4 linked regions of the Callithrix jacchus genome follow. The protein of the gene in region 4 interacts with the protein of the main gene of each other region in a pairwise test. Links are inferred from orthologs where the notes say so. Each region holds a gene or a part of one and is shown on either strand. Other genes may lie near its edges.

Region 1 (4,563 bases), on a different chromosome or scaffold from region 4:
AAAAAAAAAAAGATAGATACTGGGTTGTGTGATGTTTGGTTATACATCTGTTTGGATTTTATAGCCTTAATAATATATACCATAAAACATTAAAAAATTCAGAATACAAAGCTCTCTTCCAGAGAGAGCTTTGTTTAGATTTTTAAAAATCAGATAAATTTTAATTGTCTAATAATGTGCATTATAAATAAATTAATAGATGACAATTGTATATTTTAGCCAAATCCATTATTCTGCTTGTACAATTTCTAATTTTTACCAGTGGAAAGAAGCCTGGAGACAGGTGAAAATGAATTTAACATACATATTCCTAAAAACTGGTAGAGTTTTTATTAAACCTTTTATATCTAGAAAGAAAACACTATGGTTCATAAATCTACCCAGGGTCTTCTTCCCCTGGCAGCTATTGTAAAACAGTAATTGTCTTCCTAAGTTTATTCTTGCACCTAAGGAGTCCTGGACCCACGGAAATGTAAGGCCATTCAGCAGGAGTGCTCTTCTATGAAGCCAAGCCTGCAGGCTAGTTGGTCAGCATTCTCCAATGCCACAGTGCCCTGCATCCAACCTGGTATACAAAGGTTTTCTTGGGTTCATCTTAACTCCTAAGAGAAACTGTGGGAACAAATGATAATTTTCCAATATTTTCTCATCCAAACACAAAAGATAACTTACTTTTGAATATGACTCCGTGCCATTCTGAAGTTGATCATAATTACAGAGAAAACAGTTTAAGTAGTAGAAGCCAGATAAAACGTGATGTATGAAGAGAGGAGCAAAATAAAGGTTTTGACTATTTTCCTTTTAAGTTAGTGTCAATATCCCGAGGAAAGTGCCCAGCATAATGGCATTTTACTTTTTGATTCCTAAATTTTAGAAATGAATTGCTGATGTTTATTATTTTGTTATAGTAGATAACCAGTTTAACTGTCCCATATAAGTGAGAGTGTTATATTTGTGAAATCTGATGTTTCTTTATCTGCATAAACTTTTATTCTTTTTAGAAATAAGATTAATACAATGAACACCCACCTTCCAGAAGTTCAATTTGTTGATGAATCAGTATCTGATCTATCTATTATAGGAAAAAAAAAGTGGTAAGTATATGTTAAATGAAGGTTTTTTTAAGCCAACCAAATTAAAATTCATGTATTTATATATTTAAAGTACAGGGAATCAATTATCAACATTTAATAGCTTATATTACTTTTTAGTGTAAAACAAGTTAATATTTTTAATTAATAAAATATTGTGTTTACAATTAACGTGTGGAAATTTAGATCAAATAAAATTGATTTACACTGGAGTAACTTTAAAAACTAGAAAATTGATACAAACGCTCGGTACTTTTATGAAAAAATGCTTAACATCACTAATCACCAGGGAAATGCAAATCCAAACCACAATGAGATATTATTGTTGCCCAATTAAGAATGGCTATTATCAAAAAGACAAAAACTAACAAATAATAGTGAAAATGTGGAGCAGGGAAGATTTGGTGAGAAAGTAAATTAGGACAGCCATTATGTAGTGCTTCCTCAAAAACTAAAATTACAACTACCAAATTGAATATTCAGCAATCCTACTACCATTTTTCCAAAACAATATTTTTTTCAAATTTTTCAAAATTTTCAAAACAAAAATTTCAAAGGAAAGGAAATCAATATGTCAAAGAGGTATCTGCACTGTCATGCTTATTGCAGCACTAGTAGTCAACATGTAGAATCAACCTAAGTGTTCATCAATAGATAAATGAATACAGAAAAATTCTTTTTTTTTTGATATGGAGTCTCACTGTGTCACCCAGGCTGGAGTGAAGTGGCACGATCTGGACTCACTGCAATCTCTGCCTCCCAGGTCCAAGTGATTCTCTACCTCAGCCTCCTGAGTAGCTGGGATTACAGGCGCCTGCCACTTTTTTCTAATTTTGTTAGAGATGGGGTTTCACTGTGTTGGCAGGCTGGTCTCGAATACCTGACCTTGTGATCCATCCACCTCGACCTCCCAAAGTGCTGACATTACAGGCATGACCAGCTGAAAAATTCATTCTTAATACACACAATGGAATAAAAGTCAGCCATAAAAATGAATGAAATTCTGTCATTGGCAGCAGCATGGTGAGCCTGAGGGACATTATGTTAAGTGAAATAAGCCAGGTACAGAAAAAAAAAAAAAATACTGGATGTTCTTATACATGGAAGCTTAAAAAAATTGATCCCATGGAAGTAGAGAGTAGAACAGTGGTTACTAGAAACTGTGAAGGGTAGGGAGGAGGGGTATAACCCGAAGTTGATTAATGAATACAAAATTATGGCTAGAGAGGAGGAATAAATTCGAGTGTTCTATAGCTATGTAGGCTGCCTATAATTAGCAATAATTTATTGTACATTTTCAAATAGCTATAAGAGAGGATTTGGAATGTTCTCAACACTAAAAATGATAAGATGTTGAAAGTGATAGATATGCTAATTACCCTGATTATATTATTACATATAGTCTATGTGCATTAAAGTGCCACACTGTACTCCATAAATATGTACAAGTACTATGTGTCAAATAATTTTAAAAGTAGATAACAATCTTTCTTCTGGAAGAGGCTCAAGAAATATTGATAACTTTTTTAGCCATCAATTTTCTACACGTTTCAAATTTGTATTAATCATACTTAATATCAACCTTTGTCATATGTGATAACATCCTTTATGTATTTTACGACCCTGATTTTTAAAATACCTATTTTTATATATTTCTTGCATGATATAATAATGACTAAAAATTCCTATGATTGTGCCACTTAAGTGCATTGTGAGAAATTAAGTTACTAAACACAGTGCAAGAAAGAAATGATTCATGAAATAAAAACTGGTTGAATATCACAAGAATATTTGTTTTTATTTGTATAAACTGAACACACAGAGTTTCTTGTTTCTATTTGACCTACTTGATTTCTAACACCACATAAATGTTAAACCTCTTATTGCTGAGACTAATTAGAATTTAGTGGAACAAAATCCAGGACTTTTTACTCCTTTATTAATGACATTTATATAATTGGATCTTTCAAAAAACAAAAGCAGCATCATAAAAATGTAGTTTTATTAGTTAAAATAAAAAGGTGTGTCATATTGCACATAAAATATTAACCCCTTGTTTGGTGCCACTTATTGAAACTCAACAATAAACTATATTTAAATTTTATTTCAAATTATAAGGCAATTATTCAGTATTGAGATTAAAGAGCACCATGCCCAGTACCAAAGTTTCTGGATTGAAAAACCATTCTCAACTCTTTAGGTTCTCACCCCAGAGTGAGAGATATAAATTCTCTGGACCTTAGTTTCCTCTTTTGAAAAACGGAACTAACTGTAGCATTATATATCACAGATTTTCTGTAAGGATTAAATGAGTTAATACATGGATAATGTATATGACAAAAACAAGAAAAGAGTACTAACTAAATGTTTGCTATTGGCTATTATCACAGATTGTATTTAGGATCACAGAAAATACTATTTTCTAAGGCATTTGTATTTTGCTTTAAAATTGAACCTGACCTAAAAGAATTACAGTAAACTGTTAGCAGAAAATGTAGTTTTGCCATTTCAGACTTTGATGAATTATTCATTTGTTAATCTGGTTTCTCAAGCTGGAAGCACAGTTCTGTTTTTTTATGAGTATGTTGTGTCCTTCAAATTACCTGACTTAAATATTCTAATCCAGGTGGGCAGTTTAATGGAGTCGGTGGTGCTGGCATCCATGGTACCCCTGCAGCTCCACCTGGCTGATTATACACTGGCTGATTTGGGACAGGAAAGCCAGCTGGCCCAGGACCTGGATGGCCAGCTGGTGGGGGTGGGTAGCCGATCTGGGGCCCAGGGTAGCCGACCTGGGGCCCAGGGTAGCCAGCATATCCTGGAGGTCCTGAAATGCAAAAAAGTGAAATGATATATAACTGCACCAAAAATGGAATCGTCAAGCGTTCTGGGGTTAACCTATCTATCTATATGTTGACATTTCAGCATAGATATCTGTATCCGTGATGTTCAAGATATGCTTTTATCTTTCTGAGAATTTTCAATGAAATATCTGTGGTTGCACAACCACTTCTATTTTGGGTTAGTAGGCTGTAAATAGCCTTACCCATACCATTCAAAACTCAGATGGAAAATATGCTTTAATATCTGAGAAAAATCAAAGTAAATAACCATGATCTAGAGTCACCTACATAAAGATTCTGGCAAGCCTTCAAGAGAAAGAGAGAAGGCATTAGGTAGATGGCCCAAAATAATGGCTTTGAGTCAGCATTTCTAGGGCCAAAGTATCCTATGAAAAAATGATAATTCTGAAATTCTAGCAAATGACTTACATATGTATAGAACTGGGGGTAGTTTTGCCCCCCTCTTCCAGGGATATTTGACAAGATCTGCAGACTTTTTTTGGGGTCACAACTGGAGAGGAAGATAATACTGCATCTGGTGGGTAGAGGCCAGGGCTGCGGCTACACATCTTAAAAGGCCCAGAACAGCTCCCTAAAAATGAAGAATTGTCTAGCCCCAAATACTGTAG
Region 2 (4,160 bases), on a different chromosome or scaffold from region 4:
AGCAGCGATGGTGGTTTTGGCCTCTCAGATGAACGTTCCTTTTGTAGTTCCTTGTGCATCCCGCATTTTACTAGTTTGACTTTCTTTGTTTTCCCTTCACTATCGCCGATGACCGAGGAAACTGGGAGTTAATTCCAGAGGCAGTGGAGTTGCTCTCGTTGTCTGTGCTGACGGGAAATCCTGTGCCTCTGTCCTTCCCCAGTGTTTGCAGAGGCCAGTGATGGCCTCTGTCCCCCGTGCACCCCAGTGATGGCCTCTGTCCCCCGTGCACCCCAGTGATGGCCTCTGTCCCCCGTGCACCCCAGTGATGGCCTCTGTCCCCTGTGCACCGCAGTGATGGCCTCTGTCCCCCGTGCACACACAGACAGGCAATGTCCCTTTGCCTGTGTCCCAGGCTCTGTTCTCAGCAAGTGATCCTAGCCCCAGCACGGGTGTGGGGGGAGTGAGGAGGTAGGAGTAGTGGGGACCAGGGGAAGTGGCAGCTGTTCACAACTCTGCTGTCTCTTTCTGAATTTAATGGGAGGGCCTGTCTTCTCAGCTTGCAGGGAAGGAGGGTCTGAAGCAGCTCCACCGTCACACATTTAGGGACCCCTGAACTTAAATGACAGAACGCCCTGACCACTCTGGAAGGCACTGTGTTCCTGTTTGTGTGCTTGACTCTTGTCGGTGGAATGGCTGTTGTGGAGGCGATCACCTGTGAGATTTAGACAGTCGGTGCAGGTGCACACGTCCCTGCAGAGATTCTGGCGAGGCTGAACACTAGTAAAAACATACTGGCACCTGCTTGTTGCCTCCGGAGTCAGTAAGGATGCCACAGTCATGCAGGTAGTGGGATTCGAGGGAAGGGGGCAGGCGGGGCATGCCCTCCGGGGTGGCTGAGGACACCTGGTGCGTCCACACGCCTTCAGAGCCGTCTGCCTTGGGAGGCCTTTTCAGGACACGCTCAGGGAGCACCCAGACAGGCAGTGGCCCTGTGGATATTGGAATCCTAGCCCTTGGTGGCCCTTCAGTGACTTGGTCCTTTCTGTGGCCGCTCTGCCTCTGTGCTCTTCAGTCCCTCATGGTAGAGGAACGCGTCCCTCAGCTACTCCCATTTTCCTACATTGACACTTGGTGTAACTAGAAGCCGCCTGTGAAATTTTAGTTTCAAAGCATTGTCTGGTGATGAGCAACCCAGGGCAGTGAATCATCCAGAATTTTCTTATCTAATAAACATAATAAGATCAACAAGGACTTTAGAAAGTAACTCACTGGGTTCACGAAACTGAGCGTGGCGCCCCGTGGGGGGTGTTTTTTGAGTGCTTCCCTGGAATGAGTGGTTACTTCACGAGTGACTTCACACCAGCTTTCAGGACAATGGCAGCTTCCCAGGCATTCCTCCTTCCAGGGTGATGATCTCAAGGGGTGACTTCATGCACTGGGGACAGAAGCTCATTACAGAACCATGTATTCGGGAAGTGTCTCAGTTCTGAGTGCCTTTGAGTGAATTTGCACTTCTGTTCCCACCCAGCCCTGCACTGTGTGTTAGAGGCTGTGGGCCTTGGGAGGGAGGCTGTGGGCGTTGGCACACACCTTGAGTCTCTCCCAGCCCTCCCTGACCCCGCCTTTCCCTCCTCAAGGCTACCGGCTCTCTGACCAGTTCCACGACATCCTCATTCGCAAGTTTGACAGGCAGGGACGGGGGCAGATCGCCTTCGACGACTTCATCCAGGGCTGCATCGTCCTGCAGGTGACCAGTGGCTTCTCGTGGGTTTGCTGTGGGGGCGGGAAGGGGTTGCCCACCCACGAGGTGCGCCTGACCATTGATCTAAGGAATCAGGCGTATGTCGAATTAGGTTTTGGAGCTTATAAAAGTTAGTCTCATCTTTGGAGAAGTAGCTGGTTAGTGAAGTGTGGACAGGCATGTTTTCCTTCCCTTGGAAATGGCATAGAGCAGCCCATCTGGAAGACGCCATTTAGGTGGTATCTGGTGGGTTATTTACACTTATGTCCTGGTGTATTTTTTTTTTTTTTTTGAGATGGAGTCTCACTCTGTCACACAGGCTGGAGTACAGTGGTATAATCTCTGCAACCTCCGCCTCCTGGATTCAAGTGATTCTGCCTCAGCCTCCCCAGTAGCCAGGATTACAGGAGTGCACCACAATACCTGGCAGATTTTTGTGTGTGTTTTTTTTTTAAGTAGAGATGGGGTTTCGCCATGTTGGCCAGGCTGATCTTGAACTCCTGAGCTCAGGTGATCTGCCCGCCTCAGCCTCCCAAAGTGTGGGGATTGCAGGTGTGAGCCACCGTGTCTGGCCAACTATGGCGATTTTTGCAAAAATTTTTATTCTGAGAAAATGGACACGTTTTCTGTTGCCTCACCTGTATCTCCCTGTGCTGGCTCCATCAGGAGATGGCATGTGTGCTCCTGAAGTTGGGCCCCTAATGTCTTCCTCCCAGTGCACCTTGTTCCCACATCTGTCGAGATTTAAATGCCTGCTTTTTCCCCAGAGGTTGACGGATATATTCAGACGTTACGACACGGATCAGGACGGCTGGATTCAGGTGTCCTACGAACAGTATCTGTCCATGGTCTTCAGTATCGTATGACCCTGGCCTCATGAAGAGCAGCGGGACCGACGTATGGAAAAAAGAGCCAAAAAGCCCAAGTTCCTACCTGTGAGGGAATGGAACGCGGATGCAGTGAGATGGTGTTCTTCCTTTAGATTTGACCACGTGGGGACCGGGCTGTACATATGTGGATACGCTGGTTAATGCGTCTGCAACCCTAACAGGAGCTGTATCATTATAACACAAGCCTTGGGTTTGGTGACTGTCTCATTGTGCCATGAGGTAACTGCAGTAATGTTTCAGGCATTCTGCTTGCAAAGTCTGTCATGAGCTTTCTAGATATCTCTGGTCTATAGTGGAAATGCTTTTATTAGTCAGTAGGAATTTTAAAGTCGCACAGAACCTGCACACAGAAGGCTGTTCATGTGCCTTACTTTTTAAAAAGAGTTTATTGTAGTCATTGGAATATGCAATGTACACAATAAAGGGATGTTAGACGCGTGGTCCGCCTTCAGCTCAAATCAAACGGGTGTCAGAACCAAGCCCCACGGCCTGGTCATCCAGACGGTCACTGTCAGATGTGCTGGCTCACTTGGGACCTCCCAAGGTCCTGGACACCTTCTGGAACGTTCTTCAGCCCAGCGTGCACAGCTCTGCTTGTGAAAATCCAGAGGGATTGTCCCACCATCGGTTGAGGTGGTTACATTTCATAAAACTGCTCCATTTGGACGAAGAAGTCTAATTTGGTTTAGCAGGTCATGTATTTCCATCATGAATGATTTAGTCACGCTCTGCCCTGCGTCAGCCACAGTCTTCGCACGTGGCCAGCCAGCGCGTCCCCTGCTCGCCTCAGCCCTCCCTGCTCAGTGCTGGGCCCTCCTGGGTTCACGCTCCCGGGCCCCACCCCGTTCTCTGGACGCTGCCCTCCTTACACAGCCTGGTGTCAGGGCTGCAGCCTCGTCTCTGCCTTGACGCTGCTCCTCCCATGCTGGCCTGCACAGCTTTTCTGTTTTGATGTCTCAGGATCTTCTACCTGTTCAAACCCCTGCTCAGCATGTTCGGGGTGACAGGTAGGGGGCGTGGTTTCCTGGAAAATATCCCCATTTCTTAACACTGGACAGGCGTGCTGGGGGGCTGGGGCTGTATTCGCACTCCAGGTGGGACCCCCTCCCTCCCCACCACCCACCTGCGCTTGTCCTGGGGCCCTCTGGCTACAGATCCCTCTGGAGCAGGCACTCCTGGCTCCCCGGGGATGGGGGGAGGAGGAGGGACATGGGCTTGGGAGTCTGGCTGCTCCCTCTGGCCACACCGGCAGCCTGTGCTGGCCCCTTCTCAGGTGCCCAGGCCCTGTGTGGTCCCCTTGTCTGCTCCATGTTGGCCACTCTGCTGGTCGAGCCAACTGCCAGGCTGCGGGAGATCTGTGCCCACAGCTGTCTGTGCTGCCTGTGGCTGTATATGTTGGTCCTGCGGTCCTGGCTGGTGTGTGTGTCCCCCAGCAGCACCTGCAGCCTTGCTCACCTCATCCCCTTGCAACCCCCACCCCTCACACTGGTACATGGGCCTCCCTGAGGACCTGCTGAAGCCAGAGCTTTCCTTGGAGAAGTGGGCGG
Region 3 (4,563 bases), on a different chromosome or scaffold from region 4:
GCATTGACTTTAGAGTGTTATATTTGGTTTTAATGACCCATTTCAGTAAAGATTTATTAATATCTATCTGTTCAGAGCATGGTGGAGGGGTTCTAAAGATAATTCATTTAAGGACTAGTTAGATGAAATGACCTAGGGTATTTATATGAAGAATAGTAGGGCATTAATGTATAATACTTATGAAATTGGATTCATGAAAACTTTTTTCAAGTACTTGAAGGGTTGATGTGTTGGAGGAGCAGGTGAGTGCTTTCACATACCCCAAAAGAATAAAGAATAATTGCAGAGAAGTGTGGTGTTAATGAAACAACAGTCTTAGGAAGAGGAAACAGAAAGCTGCTTATTAGCGAGGTGGGAAGCTGAAACTAGAATGTTGTAGAACACTTTAAAAAGTCTCAAGAGATCTTTTTCTTGGAGCAGGAGGAGGAAGGAGTTGATGCCTAGAAAATGTTCAGCGATTATAGATAACATTCAGGAACATCTTGGCCTTGAGAAGAAGAAATATTAACCCATTATTTGATCATAAGTATATCCTCTGTTATTATTTAGCAACCATTTAACTTGCTAGAGACCTTCAACATTATTTTGAATTTAAAATTCCACAGTCATGGCCTGATTTGGTGGCTAACGCCTATAATCCCAGCACTTTGGGAGGCTGAGGTGGGTGGATCACTTGAGGTCAAGAGTTGGAGAGCAGCCTAACCAACATGGTGAAACCCCATCTCTACTAAAAAATACAAAAATTAGCCAGGCATGGTGGTGCATCCCTGTAGTCCCAGCCACGCAGGAGGCTGAGGCATGGGAATCATTTCCCAGGAGGCAGAGGTTCCAGCTAGCCCATATTACACCACTGCAGTCCAATCTGGGTGACAGAGTGAGACTGCATCTCAAAAAAAAATAAAAATAAAAATACGCAGTCATTACAGGATAGTCATACTGAATAAAATTAAAGATTAAAATAAAACCTAAGGGAAAATTCTATAACAAGTTAGTATTTAGCGGCTAATTGTTTGATACTGTCTTATTTAATAAAGAATGCGGTCCAGATCACACCCACCCAGGTGGGAAAGTTATGGAGTAAGCAGCACAGTAGTGGATGGTCTTTAAAAGTTCAGGTAGGTATTACTAATTTGTCCTCTCTCCTCCAGTTCCTCCACATAGAGAGGAAAGAACATCCTCATGAGGTCTTTCTCAGAAAAACTTGAGGCTCTATTTGAGTTAACTCAAATAGAGTTAGCTTTTATTGTTGTAGGATAATAGCGTTTTGAAGCCAGTATTTATTTTTCCCTTTATTTAACAGCTGTTGAATGACTTCCGGTCTGCTAGGCACTCTTGTAGGCTCTGGGAGTATGAAAAACTTCGTACCATCAAGTGGAAAAGACAATAAAAAGTTACAAAATTTTAATGTCTGGTGATGTTAAGTGCTTCGAAGAAAAGCAGGATAAGATAATGATGGGGGAGCCATTTTAAATTGGATGGTTAGGAAAGACCTCTCAAAAATTAACATTTAATAAGTAATCTGAATCATATGAGGGCTACCAGAAAGGTTCAAGACAAGGGGAAAACTTGAAGTGTGGGTGTGACGGTGAGTGAAGAAGAGAGGTAGGAAATGAAGTTAAATACTTGGCCAGGGGCTGGGGGCCCTTATAGGTCTTGGTTTTTGATATGGGAATGCATTGGAAGGTTTTGAACAGAATGATACTAGGTTTTATTTAACTGGCTTAACTCTGGTGTGCTGAGACTAGATTAAAAGTGGGCAAAGGTAAAAAGCAGGCGAACTGGTTAGGAGTCTTCCAGTCATTAAGGTAAGCAATAATAGTGGCTTGAATCAAGTTGATAGCAGTGAAGGTGCTGAAGTGGTTGGACTCCAGAGTTATTTTAAAGGTAGTGGCAACCATATTTTGTTGGTAGTTTGGATGTAAGGTTTGAGAAAAAGATCAACCAAGATTTTTTTTGTCTTACACAACTCAGAGGAAGTGAGATTGGGAAGCCTATAGGAGAGGCATAGGTGGGGAAGACTAGGAATTTATTTTGATGTAAAGAAAAATCTAAGTCGTAATGTCAGATAAACAGTTAAACATAGATAAAATAATAGTAGACATAAAATAAAAGCTTATTTTATTATCTCTACAGTAAAATAATGTTGCCTCCAGGCCATTTTAACACAAATACAGTAACATGGGGATAATGAATCTTCTGGAGGCCAGAGTTTCTTAGCATCTAGTAGTAACTCTCAACTTTTAAGAAATGTTTTGTTGTTTAATTATCAAAACCACTTTTATCAGCCTTTCTCTAGAGTTCTATATATAGAACATCCTGGAGTCTACCATGAATGGACAGTTGGATCTGAGTGGGAAGCTAATCATCAAAGCTCAACTTGGGGAGGATATTCGGCGAATTCCTATTCATAATGAAGATATTACTTATGATGAGTTAGTGCTAATGATGCAACGAGTTTTCAGAGGAAAACTTCTGAGTAATGACGAAGTAACAATAAAGTATAAAGATGAAGGTAAGAGTGTTTTTAAAGCTATTTGTAAACGTTTGTTCATTTATTTATTTATAAAGAGACAGAGCCTCTCTGTTGCCCAGGCTGGAGTACAGTGGTGTGATCAGATAAGTGTCACCTTGAACTCCTGGGCTCAAGCAGTCCTCCTGCCTCTGCCTCCGCCTCCCAAAGTGCTGGGATTACAGGAATGAACTACAATGTCTGACTTTAAAGTCTTAAGTATTGTATGTGTTGTTCTGCACATTTTTATTGGACTCTTTTTTTTGATCATTTGAAAATAGCTAAGTGGTTTATTAGAAGGGAATTTTAAGTGTTATAACATTTTCACAAGCATCATTTTCTCCTTTTGTCCATATAATTCTGGTTTCTTTTAGCTTAAAATTTTTCTTTTCTATTCTGATTTTCCAGTGAAAGAAAGGTTGTAGTATGTATTGAATGAAAAAGGATTTCATGGTCAACTAAGTGTGGGAAAGCTGGTTTAAACAAAGACAAAAGTGTTTCTTTATTGTAGGAATTTTCAGAATATGTAATGTTCTTATGTAAGTTTTCAAAAATTTGTAGTGTACAGTGTTCCCAGACTCATTTGTCGATAAAACTCTTTTTATGGAAATAGGTTTTGCATGAAAAATGTTTTAGCAAACACGGATTATAGTATTAGACTATGTTTCCTATTCTTTTTTTTTTTTTTTTTTGAGACGGAGTTTCGCTCTTGTTACCCAGGCTGGAGTGCAATGGCGCGATCTCGGCTCACCACAACCTCCGCCTCCCGGGTTCAGGCAATTCTCCTGCCTCAGCCTCCTGAGTAGCTGGGATTATAGGCACGTGCCACCATGCCCAGCTAATTTTTTGTATCCTTAGTAGAGGTGGGGTTTCATCATGTTGACATGGATGGTCTCGATCTCTTGACCTTGTGATCCGCCTGCCTCGGCCTCCCAAAGTGCTGGGATTACAGACTTGAGCCACCGCGCCCGGCCATTTCCTATTCTTTAACCTGCCTTCTCTGTTAACATCTCTGCTGAAATTTTCTTTTTAGGTGGTTACCAATGGGGTGTGTGTGTGTGTCTGTGTGTGTGTGTATATAAAAAATATAAACATATATAATACATATATATACACACACACACACACACACACGTTTTATTGCACTTTAGGTTCTCGGGTACATGTGTAAAACATGCAGGATTGTTGCATAGGTAGGTACATGGCAGTGTGCTTTGCTGCCTCCATTCCCCGGTCACCTGTATCTGGTATTTCTCCCCATGTTATCCCTTGCCAACCTTCCTACCCCTCTGCAGTCCCTCCCCTATTTCCTGCCAACAGACCCCAATGTGTGATTTTATATTGAACTTACTTGCAGTGTATTTCATCTTGACCTCACTATTTAGCACTGCTATCCACACCATCCTTGTTAAATACTTTTACCTCTTAACATCTCTGGCACTACTTAATCTGATTTTCTTATCACATAATGATACAATACATATAATGTCTGTGTTAGTGTTGGCTTAAAGTAATGCCAGCAGATAGAATTAGAAATCTTAGAATCTGAGTGGTTTAACAGTCAAGACATCTTTCAGATATCCAGGCTGAAAGAAGCTGTTACCTTAAACACATTGTTCATAAGCTCACCGTAGGCATTGACATTGGCAGGCAGATGAGTGAAGACAGAGTATGAAGAATCATATGGGAGGTTTTACTCACTAGGCCTGATGGTGTTGTATGTCATTTCTGCCCTTATCACGTTGGTCAGTACCCAGTTACGTGACTCTAAGAGGCAAATTGGTTGGGAAGTGTAGTCCCTGGCTGAGCAGCCGCTGTGCACAACTTATGCTGTGGAAGAGAAGAGTGAATCACTGGTGATAAATTGGCCATCTAGCTATAGGTATAATTCTTTCTTTTTATAATGTGTATTCTAAGCACCCAAAACAAAATTTTGAGAGTTGCCCATGTGAAACAGTAAAGGAGAGCAATTTTTTTCCTGTTTTCTTCCACTTATAATACATTAACTTTCACCTCTGTGACGTTGAAATGTGTGCCTTAATTTGATCAACTTT
Region 4 (4,563 bases):
CCTGTTGGGAGGCTGCTGCAGGAGCCCAGGGGAGGAACAGTGGCGGCAGGGGCTTGTGGTGAGGGGTATCACGTTCCAGCCCTGTTTGCTGATGAATTGGACACGTGGCATGTGGGACAGAGAGGTGTTGAGGATTATGTAGGGTTTCTTTAGGCCAAGCGGTGGGAGAATGGAGTGGCCCTCAATTGAGATAGGGGAGCTGTAGGTAGAGCTGGCTTTAGGTGCTTGTAGGGTGGAGCTACAGGGAGGCTTCTGGGTTGCTGTGCGTGGAGGTCAGGAGAGGTCTGGGCTGGATGTGGAAGGTAAGAGAGCTGTTGGTTGTCAAAGGTTTCTGTGGCTCTGGAACTGCAGAGCTGATTTGAAGAGATAATAATCGAAAAAGATAGAGCAGAAATCATGACTTTAGTATGCAAATGGAAGCTGACACTCAGGCTGAGGAAGGAAAGTTTTATGTCCTGCGTCAGAGCTGGACTCAGGACCCAGGTCTCCATCATGCCGCCTGCCTCTTTAGGAGCCAGCCGTCCACTCCCGTGGGTGCTTAGCATGTCCTAGGTTGAGCTGGACTGGCAGGGGTGGGCAGCAAAAAGCCAGGCTGTCTGGGGCAGGCTGGGCCTCAGCTCACAGGCAGGTTGAGGAAGACACAGATGCATGAATAAGGCCAAGGCATGGCAGAGACTGGAGGTGTGGGGGATTTGAGAAGAGGGGACACTGTGTTGGGGTGCAATGGGAGTGAGCCCTGGAGGGGAATTAAGGTGTTATTTGGTTAAACAGATTGGCAGTCCTGAGAAGGGGACTACAGGGAGGGACACTAGGCAGCACACATAACTTGTGATGAAGACTCTGGCTTTCTTGAGAGCTGGGCAGGCCTGGGGCCATGCAGGGTGAGGGAGCAGAGTGGAAGGCAGGGGGTCTTAGGGCAGAGGTCACCTCATGTGAGTCCTCTGTTAGCCTGCTCACGCTGCCATGACAGAATACCACAGACTGGGTGGCTTAAGCAACAGACATTCATTTTCTTACATTCTGAAGGCTGGATGTCCAAGAGCGGCACCGGTTTTTCCTGCTGCCTCTTCGTGGCTCTCACTGTGTTCACATGGTCTTTCCTCTGCAGACGCACATCCCTGGGGTCTCTGTCTCCTAACTTCCTCTTCTCCTAAGGAGGCCAGGCGGATTGGATCAGGGCACACCCTAGCAGCATGTTTTAACTTAATTACCTCTTTAAAGATCTTGTCTCCAAATACGGTTATATTCTGAGGTCCTGGGAGTTGGGACTTCCACATATGAACTTCGGGGAGACACATTTCAGTTCATAATATAAGCCTCTCTATGTCATCCCCCTAGTTTTCAATGAGTACCAGAGAATGACAGGCCGGGACATTGAGAAGAGCATCTGCCGGGAGATGTCTGGGGACCTGGAGCAGGGCATGCTGGCCGTGGGTAAGTGTCTTGGGCTTGCCTGCCCTCCTGCCAGGGACTAATGTGTATTGTGAGTGTTCAGGGTGCTCGCCTGTCCTCTAGCTTAGGGGTAACATTGTTAAAGGACCACAGGAGCCAAGATTGCTCAACCCAGAGTGTCCAGATGCTGGGAAGTCATGCCACTTCCCTATGCAATGGAACCCTTCGCTGTCCCAGAGGCATCTTGTTTGTGTTTGTGGTACAGCCCTAGAGAAGGGAACTGCAGTGTGGGTATTAGTGGGAGGGCATCCAGCAGCACTCCCGGAGGAGCATGACTCATATCCTGCCAAGTTTCCTCTAAAAATACATCCCTGCAGACAGTTGTCAGATGTTTGTGATGGAAACGCGTGGAAAGATTTTTACTTGCAACAGCGAAACAGGCCCATGCTGAGGAAAGCTGGCTTGGCTCAGAGGTGGTAGTGTGCCTCTTACTCAGCCTGTGTCCTCCAGCAGGGCCTGGCGGGCTCCAGGTCCCTCCCTGCTGTGCAGAGTTGGGTCCCCACCCTGAGGCCCTCACAACCTCTCTTTCTACTCACTTGGGAAAATCAGTCTGCCCCTTTTTTTCATTATGCTTTTTTTGAAACTTTCTGGATGGGAGAGCTGGAAAATCCGCCTTTCCCTGCCTGCCCCCACAGTAGGTCTTGTGGCCTGGGCAGCCAAGGGAGATGCTCATTCCACTCAGCACGGTTTCTCCATGAAGGGCACAGCCTCTCCAGTCTGCCCCTCCTGCCTGAGCAGCAACACAGTTCCTCATCACCATCCACATGGCTTCCCTGCGCAGCTCCTAGCCTCACGAAGACCCCCTCCCCTCTGGCTCTTGCTTTTTCACCACAGTGGTTGCCAGGAAAGAGGGTGGGTTGGTATCCTGTTTCTGCGTGTTACTGTTCCAAAGAACTGGAGCCAAGATCGTAGGATAGTTGAGTCTGGAACAGGAGGAGGAGGAGAAAAGATGGATGCAGTGATGGGTTTGACATCTGGGCCTCTAAGAGGACACTTGTAGACTCCATGCCTGGCTTAGGCTGAGAATTTTCTGCAGATCTGGTTATGCCGTGTTTCTCTCTTCTAGTGAAATGTCTCAAGAATACCCCAGCCTTCTTTGCGGAGAGGCTCAACAAGGCCATGAGGGTAAGTAACTTGCATGTGTAGATCCGGATGCCTTAGCCTCGCCTTTGCCAAGGGCTGAGGGTAGTAGGCCTGGGGAGAGCTAAATCTCAGCCGAGAGTTCTGAGAACCTGGGTTGGGAGGGGACTGACTGGAGGGCCCAGGGCGGGTGGGAAGTGAGGAAGCCTGATGCTCATGCTCTTGGGTGGACTCTCTTTAGGGTGCAGGAACAAAGGACCGGACCCTGATTCGCATCATGGTGTCTCGCAGCGAGACTGACCTACTGGACATCAGATCGGAGTATAAGCGGATGTATGGCAAGTCGCTGTACCACGACATCTCGGTACGGGCCTGCTACAGCCAGACTGGGCTTCCTTTTGGCATCCCAGTCACCTGTGGACCTTTCCTCCTTGAAGTGGCCATATGCTTGGCCCCTGTGCCATGTATGGGCATCTTGTTTGTGGACCTTGGACTTGCTTATCCCGTTGCCCCTAAACAGATTATAAGCTTCTGAGGGCAGGTGGGTCATGACCTTGCTGTCGCCCCCACCTTGCGTCCCCCAGCAGCATCAGAGAATACTCAGGACCTCCCCAACTTTGACCCTGACCTTCAGTGTTCCGGCTACCCTGTGATTCCACAATCTGTCAGTGAGAACTCATGTGCTGACCTGACTAAGCACTTCTTGCACTCAGGTTTATGACGTAGGACACATAGGAAGGCCATTCAGAGCAAGGGCCCTGGGGATCACGCCACTTGGAGTCCGGCTTTTCTATTTGCCAACTGAGTGACCTTGAACAGCTTCCTTAAACCTCCCTGCACCCCAGCTCCATTGTCTTTAAAATGAGAAAATAATCATTCCTTCCCAAGAAAGTAGTGAGTATTGAGTGAGGCAGTGCAGGTCAAGTGTCTGTTTAACACTAGCCACTGTGTATCACTATGCAGCAGAGCAAGTCTGACAAAGTATATATTCAACTGCCTGGTCTAACACTCCAATTCTGAACTCATGTAAGCCTTGAAATTGCACCATGGGACCACATCCCCACCTTAGACTCAGTAGCATTTGATGATGGTGGGCATGTCATCACGAGAAGCTCACTTCCTTTACCTGGCTGTATGAATGAAGCTGTTGCTAGAGAATTAGTAATTCTAGGCTGGGCACAGTGGCTCATGCCTATAATCCCAGCACTTTGGGAGGCTGAGGTGGGTGGATCACTTGAGGTCATGAGTTCGAGACCAGCTTGGCCGACATGGTGAAACACTCTCTACTAAAAATACAAAATTAGCTGGGCATAGTGGAGCATGCCTGTAATCCCAGCTACTTGGGAGGCTGAGGCAGGAGGATTGCTTGAACCTGGGAGGCGGAGATTTATTGAGCTTGGATTGTTCCATTGCACTCTAGCCTGGGTGACAGACTGAGACTTTATCTCAAAAAAAAAAAAACAAAAAACAGAAGAGAATTAGTAATTCTTTACAGAGTATCTCCTGCATGCCAGCGGGCTGTGGACATCTGGAAGAAGCTACATGCCTTGCTCTCAAGTTGCTTAGGGTGGAAGGAAATGATTAGAAATGAGCCAAGCTGAGCCTGCACTCTTAGAGTAAGTGCAGTGGCCTCAGACAGAGGAGAGATCCATGGGACCTGGGAGGCTGGAGCCCTTCACTGGACAGTCATGTGTGAGGAGGTTGCGTTTCCTGAGCAGAAGACTGTTGCATTAAACTGGTAACCGCAATTTAAGGCAGCATAAATGCACTGGGAAAAGCAGTATTGGTTAGCCCTGGGAAGTGGTTTTTAGGACGATTATAATTTTTTTTGTGGGTATTCATTTGACTTGGATAGTTGGGGTGAGTGCAGCTTTCCATCTTCTAATGGGGACCTGGGGAAGGTGAAACTGTGTTATCTAAGATCTGTTGCGCCTGCTCCAGGACCTGCAGCAGGGGAAAATTTCCCAGGATGGGGCTTCCTCCCTATAAGGGCACTCAGGGCAGAAAATCAGGAGCCAGAGGCTACAAGCA

Evidence for each region.
Region 1: the proteins of ANXA11 (region 4) and phospholipid scramblase 1 interact in a two-hybrid assay, tested with the Homo sapiens proteins (2 studies listed by BioGRID and IntAct). The two-hybrid records come from large-scale screens. The link is inferred for Callithrix jacchus from reciprocal best matches to the Homo sapiens genes ANXA11 and PLSCR1.
Region 2: the proteins of ANXA11 (region 4) and PDCD6 interact in binary tests that used the Homo sapiens proteins (3 or more experiments, as listed by UniProt). The link is inferred for Callithrix jacchus from reciprocal best matches to the Homo sapiens genes ANXA11 and PDCD6.
Region 3: the proteins of ANXA11 (region 4) and TFG interact in binary tests that used the Homo sapiens proteins (3 or more experiments, as listed by UniProt). The two-hybrid records come from large-scale screens. The link is inferred for Callithrix jacchus from reciprocal best matches to the Homo sapiens genes ANXA11 and TFG.

The regions. Positions count from the first base shown.
Region 1 is NC_133518.1:38,664,051-38,668,613, reverse strand, and holds part of phospholipid scramblase 1, read right to left. Parts: exon of another isoform or gene 3,919-4,563; coding exon 3,695-3,918; exon of another isoform or gene 1,073-3,694; coding exon 1,030-1,072; exon of another isoform or gene 1,002-1,029; intron 1-1,001. UniProt on the Homo sapiens protein: Catalyzes calcium-induced ATP-independent rapid bidirectional and non-specific movement of phospholipids (lipid scrambling or lipid flip-flop) between the inner and outer leaflet of the plasma membrane resulting in collapse of the phospholipid asymmetry which leads to phosphatidylserine externalization on the cell surface.
Region 2 is NC_133503.1:205,761,371-205,765,530, reverse strand, and holds the end of PDCD6 (programmed cell death protein 6), read left to right. Parts: intron 1-1,619; coding exon 1,620-1,729; intron 1,730-2,487; exon of another isoform or gene 2,488-2,490; coding exon 2,491-2,589; 3' UTR 2,590-3,052; downstream 3,053-4,160. UniProt on the Homo sapiens protein: Calcium sensor that plays a key role in processes such as endoplasmic reticulum (ER)-Golgi vesicular transport, endosomal biogenesis or membrane repair.
Region 3 is NC_133516.1:91,882,702-91,887,264, forward strand, and holds part of TFG (protein TFG), read left to right. Parts: intron 1-2,285; 5' UTR 2,286-2,328; coding exon 2,329-2,512; intron 2,513-4,563. UniProt on the Homo sapiens protein: Plays a role in the normal dynamic function of the endoplasmic reticulum (ER) and its associated microtubules. Required for secretory cargo traffic from the endoplasmic reticulum to the Golgi apparatus.
Region 4 is NC_133513.1:50,366,838-50,371,400, forward strand, and holds part of ANXA11 (annexin A11), read left to right. Parts: intron 1-1,017; exon of another isoform or gene 1,018-1,150; intron 1,151-1,338; coding exon 1,339-1,434; intron 1,435-2,518; coding exon 2,519-2,577; intron 2,578-2,773; coding exon 2,774-2,896; intron 2,897-4,563. UniProt on the Homo sapiens protein: Binds specifically to calcyclin in a calcium-dependent manner. Required for midbody formation and completion of the terminal phase of cytokinesis.